Linked DNA regions of Callithrix jacchus. The protein of the gene in region 1 interacts with the protein of each later gene in a biochemical or structural test. Links are inferred from orthologs where the notes say so. Each region holds a gene or a part of one and is shown on either strand. Other genes may lie near its edges.

Region 1 (3,647 bases):
CCCCAGTAGAAGGACTATGCTTTCTGTAGTTAAAAATCCTTTAACGTCCTGGCATGGTGGCTCACATCTATAATTCTAGCACTTTGGGAGGCTGAGGCAGAAGCATCACTTGACTCAGGAGTTTGAGACCAGCATGGGCAACACGGCGAAACCCCGTCTCTACCAAAAATATAAAAAATTAGCCAGGCATGGTGGTGTGCATCTGTAGTCTTAGCTACTGGTGTGTCGGGGGTGGGGGTGGGGGCTCAGGTGGAAGAATCACTTGATCCCAGGATGTGGAAGCTGCAGTGTGCCAAGATCATGATACGGCACTCCAGCCTGGGTGACAATTATTTAAGGCCACTGAAATGCCTGCATTCTAAAGACATTCCCTGACCAGACAGTATTTTTCACTGACCTTCCACCAGTGTGCTAACTGCCATCAGGGCATCCTCTTGTACTCCCCCAGAGCCAGCTGTGCTTTGGAACATCCTTAACAGGGAGGCCATGACCACATCAGAGATCTGCAATGCATCTTGATGTTGCACTTTCCGAAGAACATTCTGTGAAATGAGTAAGAGTTCAAGATCAGTTGATTCCCAATCTCCCAATCAGAACAGTATACCTTCTTTTTAAAAATCAATTAAGTCCTTTGACTTTCTTTTGTGAATGCCAAATGTACTTTTTATACTAAAAAACTCTGATAATACCAATCATTAACAATACTTTTTTTTTTTTTTTTTTTTTTTGAGATGCAGTTTAACTCGTCGCCCAGGCTGGAGTGCAATGGCGCAATCTCGACTCACCGCAACCTCAGCCTCCCGGGTTCAAGCAATTCTCCTGCCTCAGCCTCCCAAGTAGCTGGGATCACAGGCGCACACCACCACACCTGGCTGATTTTTTGTATTTTAATAGAGACAAAGTTTCCCCATGTTGGTCAGGCTGGTCTCGAACTCCCAATCTGAGCTGATCCGCCCACCTCAGCCTCCCAAAGTGCTGGGATTACAGGTATGAGCCACTGCACCCAGCCCTCTCCCTACTTTTTTGTTTTTAAGACAGAGTCTCACTCTGTTGCCCAGGCTGGAGTATAGTGGTGTTATCTTGGCTCACTGCAACCTCCGCCTCCCGGGTTCAAGCAATTCTTGTGCCTCAGTCTCCCAGTAGCTCGGATTACAGGCACACAACACACTGTGTCAAGCTAATTTTTGTATTTTTAGTAGAGACAGGGTTTTACCATGTTGGCCAGGCTGATCTCAAACTCTTGACCTCAGATATCTACCCACCTTGGCCTCCCAAAATGCTAGGATTACAGGGGTGAGCCACTGTGCCCAGCCAGCAATACATTTTAACATTCCCCAGTTTCTGAATTTCTCAATTCAGAACCAATGTGAGCTGATCCTCCATTGTGCAGAAGGTCATGTCTGCATTTTATTTGCCTTAGTGTCTGACAAATCCATGCTGGTAGCCTCCATAGTCTAGTCTTACTAGATAGTTAAATTACTTGAGCTTTAAAAAAGCCCTGTTACCTTAGAGCTCTTTTTAATAAAACAAACAAAAAGCAACCCTTCCTATATCCTACCCATTTACAGATGGTCTAGAAATAATCTTGATAAAAATCAAACCAACTTGACTTCTCTCAATTCAATATACATTCATCAAACATTCCTTCTTCTTGTTTCAATTAATGTCACTGACAATAGGTCAAACAGCAAATGTTTCAAAAGATGATGGTACAAACTCAAGGCTTTATTTTTAGTCAAGTGAACTATAGCTGGGAACCAAATATGACTGAGCTAGGCTCGAATAACTTAATTAAAAACCAAGAGTTCTTTTGGTTTTCAAAATCAAAAAACCAAAACCATTCAAGCTGTCAACACAAACCAGCTATACAGCTGGGAGGAACCATCAAACATCAAGTAGTTTACTTCTCTACACTGAGACATTAGTTGAAACAAACAAGAGTGAGGAAGGGAGGTTTGATGAGTGTACACTGAGTTGGGAGAAGTCAAGTTGATTTGAGTTTATCAAGATTATATCTAGACCATCTATAAATAAAGTAGGATTTGAATCTTTCTAGACAGTGAGGAAAGGCCGGTGGGAAATTCCTCTCCCAATTCATCAATCACAGACCAAAGTCTTCTGAGAACAGCTTCTGATCAGCATCATCGATACCATTTTTGAGTTCTGTGTATACATGAACTTGTCATACTGAGATATTAATTATCTTTCCTGGAGTTACTAAGAAATGATATAGCACCATAATACCTGAAGAGTTGCGCAGAGTAAAGACTGAAGGTCATTGAACTGGATTCTATCGGATGTGCTCTGGATATGTGACTACAAGGAAAAGAAGAAAACATACTCTACGTAACCATTCAATAATCTTCCCTAATGCCAACACAGGAAAGTAAACAACAACAACAAACCCACAATATATATAACACATGTCTGAGTAAACCATGACAAGCAATGCTAACGTTAAGGTGTAATTTTTTTTAAATAAACTTCATATCCTTCTGAGAAAATATATAAACACCAAAAAGACAGAACAGTCTGGAAAATAGACCTAGGTGTCCAAAGTACTGCCCTATTCCCACCCATAGTCAGGGGCCTTCTTAGGTCTCACCTCCATCTGAAGCACCTGCTGCAGTCGCTCCATGATGACCAAAGTCGTTTTCTGGACAGCAGGGTAACAATCCTTGGCACTGTTTTTCACAATTTCCATCAGAGATTCATATGCAGAACTCCTCAGGTTGTTCTGGTGTCCATCGGGTCTGTAAAGAACACAGCGAAAATCTTAAAGGCTCAACTGAGGGGAAAGGACAGAGAATAATACAGAGAATATAGACACTGTCTTGCCAGAAATAAGAACTCAGAAACTGGTATGACTGCAGACATGGTTTGAGTTTGGAAACACAATATCTAATAACCAAATCTTCAAGTCCTTTGAGCCAACAGTTATGTTCATTATGGTCTCCAGACAGCTAAAATTTAGAACGGTCCTTTAGGAAATGAGCTAAAATTACAGAGGGAAAAATGGTTTGAAATGGTAAAGAACCATGTTAACAATTTAACAGGTTGTCTGAATAGCTATGAAGAAAATACCCCAATTTTCTTGGGTACAGGTGACTCACACCTGTAATCCCAGAACTTAGGAGGCCGAGGTGGGCAGATCACCTGAGGTGTCAGGAGTTTGTGACCAGCCTGGCCAACATGGTGAAACCTCATCTCTACTGAAAGTATAAAAATTAGCCAGGCACATTGGTGGGCACCTGTAGTCCCAGCTATGTGGGAGGCTGAGGTATGAGAATCACTCGAACCTGGGAGGTTGCAGTTAGCCAAGATCACACCATTGCACTCCAGCCTCGGTGACAGGAGCGTGACTCTGTCTCAAAAACTAAAGGAAAAAAAAAAACATTTTGTGCTCAGCTCCCTTCCTGAAGGTTTACTTTGTTCATGACTTTAGGTATAGCTGACATAAAGCATGAATCATTAAAGGTTGTCTCCAACTTATAATCCCCTTTAAACAACATTTCAAAAGCTTGTTTATAAGTCAACTGTATTCACCCCAAGTTCTTGATCCCATATAAAAATATGGTAGTTGTCGGGGAAATTAGCTGGCTATGGTGGTGTGTGCCTGTAATCCCAGCTACTCAGGAGGCTGACAC
Region 2 (3,747 bases), on another chromosome or scaffold:
AGGCACGTGCCGCCACGCCTGGCTGATTTTTGTATTTTCTGTGGAGACGTGGTTTCAACATGTTGGCAAGGCTGGTCTCAAACTCTTGACCTCATGATCTGCCCGCCTCGAACTCCCAAAGTGCTGGGATTACAGGCGTGAGCCACCGCGCCCGGCCAAAGCAGCTCTTTATTAGTGTAATTTATCCAAATTTCCCTCCATCATTCCTTCCACGCCCCCGGTGGGGAGTGGGAGTGCTACACGGGAGAGTCTGCGGCCCAGGGCTTCACTGCTGCCTGAGGGCTAAGATTATGTGTGGTGGTAGAAAAAGAAGAATTGGGGGCATGGAAACGCAGGAACTGCCAGAGTGAAGGTTGCAGAACCTGGCTTGGGAGGATGATGAAGAAACTGGGCGACACTAAAGTGTCGTTGTTGAGCTGGCGTTCAACAAGTATTTATTGAGTATCTACAACGCGCTAGGCATTGTTTTGACACTAGAGATTCAGCAGCAATTCAACGAAAGTACCTGCTCTCATTGAGCTGAATGCCCCGTGCGGGCAGCCAGGTAACGCACATAAACACTTGCACTTATATCTCATAGATACTTACGTACATGTCAGGTAGAAATAAGTGCTATTTATAAAACTGAAGCAGAGCATGGGAACAGTGAATGAAGGTGGCTGCTATTTGAGGAGACCCCCACAAAACAGCGAGACAGTGAAGCACCAGCGGTTGTTCTTTTTCTGATTTTCTAGCTACAGGCAGCGAGATGCGCTCCCAGGAAACCCCGCCCTCTTCCTCCTGATAGGGCACAAAGTGCCAGGATACCTCCTACCTCTTCCCCGCCTAGAGGCGGACTTGGGTCGTTGGGGGGGACTTCGCGCCCAGCAATATGAGCGCGCCGCGCAAACAGCCGCGCGCAGCGATCCCGGCATGCTCCTCGTCCTCCCTAGGCAAGTAGAATTGCTCCGGGCGGATCGTGGCATGCTGGGAACTGTAGTTGACGACCGCCAACCCGCACCTGAGGGGCGGTAAAAGCCGCGAAGTCCCGTTCCATTTCTGGCACAGGACTTGCGGCACCGTGAGGTTGTGGAGAGCTCTTGCAGGGAAGGAGGGCAGGGTCATCCCGAAAACGCCCAAACCGGTCGCCGCCCCCAGTCACGTGTCGCCAGCCTCCGCGGGCGCGCGCCACTCTTAGAACCGTTCCCGCCCCACCCGGCCCGGCTATCGGTCCGCGCCTCCCCCGGCGCTACTGCCACCTCGCGCTCGGAGGCGTCACGGAACGTGCTCTCCTCTTCCCCCCCACCTCCTTTCCCTCCAGCTCTCCCCCTCTTCCCCCGCCCGCGCCGAGACTCGTCGCCGCCGCCGCAGCCTCAGGAGTAGCCGCCGCCGGAGCCGCGCGCAGCCATGGCCGAGAACCCTAGCTTGGAGAACCACCGCATCAAGAGCTTCAAGAACAAGGGCCGCGATGTGGAAGTGAGTGTGCTTCCGCGATCTGGGGCCGCCTGGCCGCTCCGCTGGGCGACGCGAGGAGGGGCGGAGGGCCGGCGCCGGGCTGGTTCTCGCCAGCTTGTGGTCGGCCGGAGTTGGCCGCCGCCTCCCGTCACCGTGGCCCCGGGCTGGGCGGAGCGGGCGGCGGGACGCGGGCGGGGCTGCAGCCACCCTCCAGAGCTGCCGGCCCGGCGACCGGGAAATGCCGGGGTTTTCGGCCCTGTCACGCGGGCGCGGCCTGATGTCGGCGAGGAGGGGATGAGGAGCTGAGGCGGGGTCCGCGGGCGGTGGCCGCGCGGACGAACGGGGATGCTGCCGCCCCGGGCCGACGACCGCACAGTCGAGGGGCGGTTGCTGCTGGCGCCCGCCAGTGCAACCTTCCGCCCGGTGCAGCCCCCTCGGTGCCTCCCGCGCATGGAGCCTCGGCTCTGCCGGTCCCGGCTCCTACCTTCTGGGAGCCGGGCCTTGGCGGGCGGTGGCGGCCCGCAGAGGGGGGTGGGGACCAGCCGGGTAACTGACTTGTTTGAGGGTGATGGATGGGGGAGGGTAGGATGCGCCAGGACTATTTTCTTATATTCCAGTGCTGTTCTTTGGTCTAGTCGTGCCGAGCTGTTCCAGCTCATACTCCTGCAACTGCTGGTATTTGGAGCGAGCTGAAGGTGGACAATAGTTTGCCATCTATTGTGTTCAGGCGTTGGAAAAGAGGTTGTTCCGACCTCCGCTCACAGGACTTATTTTCTTAGCCTTTCTTGGAGTAGGGTGTGCATAGGGTGATAATTTCTTTGACACATTTTACTGAAATAAATTGGATACATAGGTTCATAAGTCCTCTCACATACCTCTTGCTACAAGCTAGTAGAATTTCCAAGTGGTTGCAAAACTAAGCGTTCATCGCGGTCACTCAGTTCGTTGCTACTCAGCATGTTGCCATTGTCTCATTAAGGTGACATTAGCAGGTACTATTTGCAAACTCGGCTTATTGAGGCAGCGCTAGAGGTCTCTCTGCAGCTGCTGAAAGCAATGAGTACATGCACAAACTTCACTGGGCCTGTGACCTTTGGATTTGTTAGGGGGAAAATGGTTTAAGGCTACAGCCTTCTTTTCTAATACTGGGTGACATGATATGCAGTTTTGTAGTTTTTGCTAAGAGGCTAGTGTGATTAAGAGGTGAGTATTTTATCCTGTCCTAAGGAAGGTGGTGGGTTGTATATACCATTCAGCGTTCTATTTTGTAGAGAAACAAACTCAGGCTGTTTTTCAGAGCTACAAAATTAAATACTAGTAGAAAAAACCTGGGGAGATATCCGTGGAATTCCCATTTGAATGAGTCAAATAAAGATCATGTATTCTTTCCTGGTCATGGTTAAATACTCCTTGTGAGAGAGAAATCTAAGCAAAAGTGAAACTTAGGAATAGGAACAAGAAATTTTGGAACTGCCTCCTGTCCTGATGATAAGTGTTAATTTTGAACTTTTCCCATTCTTGAGGTCTACCTCGTTTCAAATAAAAGTTTATTGAAAAATACTCATATTGTTTGTACTTTAAAACCAATAACATTTTTTCTGCTCTTGGATATTGGTACAGGTTTTTGTTTCATTGTTTACCTCTATTACGCTGTTCTGGTAATTCAGTGATACTTAGTAAGGACTCCTGCACATACTAGGTACACAACAAATATTTGCTGATGATAACAAGTAACCAGTAACTTTTAGATGCATGAAAAAGAGCATGGTTGCTAAGCCATTCAGCCTGGTATTGGTCACAACACTACATTTCTTGGGATTCTATAGGGTAACTTAAGACATGAAATAGACATGCGAATGGTAGTTCTATTGTGGCAGATGCTGTGTTAAGAGTTTCAGGATACCTTGTTTAATCTGTGCAACAAGTGTATGAGTTAGGAGTGGCGTTATCCCTACTTTACATGAGGAAAGTATTTTTTGAGACAGAGTCTTCTTCAGTTACTTAGGTTGGAGTACTCAGGCACTCATTAGCTCAGCTGCAAGCTTAAACTTCTAGGCTCAAGGAATCTTCCCACTGTGGCCTCCCAAGTAGCTGGGACTACAGGTGGACAGCACCACACCTGGCTAATTTTTAATTTTTTGTAGAGATGGGGTCTTTGTTGCCCAAGCTTGTCTTGAACTCTTGGGCTCCAGTGATTCCCCCACTTCAGCCTCCCAAAGTGTTGGGACTGCAGATGCTGAGCTATCACACCCAGATGGAACTTTAGATGCAAAACCTCAGTGTGCTTATGTAGCCTGTGCAAGTCACTCAGTG

What was found. The genes of interacting proteins can lie anywhere in the genome.
Region 2: the proteins of KPNB1 (region 1) and KPNA3 form a complex in vitro, tested with the Homo sapiens proteins (2 studies listed by BioGRID and IntAct, with this or other methods). The link is inferred for Callithrix jacchus from reciprocal best matches to the Homo sapiens genes KPNB1 and KPNA3.

The regions. Positions count from the first base shown.
Region 1 is NC_133506.1:118,626,984-118,630,630, forward strand, and holds part of KPNB1 (importin subunit beta-1), read right to left. Parts: intron 2,754-3,647; coding exon 2,606-2,753; intron 2,317-2,605; coding exon 2,245-2,316; intron 543-2,244; coding exon 398-542; intron 1-397.
Region 2 is NC_133502.1:66,189,124-66,192,870, forward strand, and holds the start of KPNA3 (importin subunit alpha-4), read left to right. Parts: upstream 1-1,318; 5' UTR 1,319-1,386; coding exon 1,387-1,455; intron 1,456-3,747. UniProt on the Homo sapiens protein: Functions in nuclear protein import as an adapter protein for nuclear receptor KPNB1. Binds specifically and directly to substrates containing either a simple or bipartite NLS motif.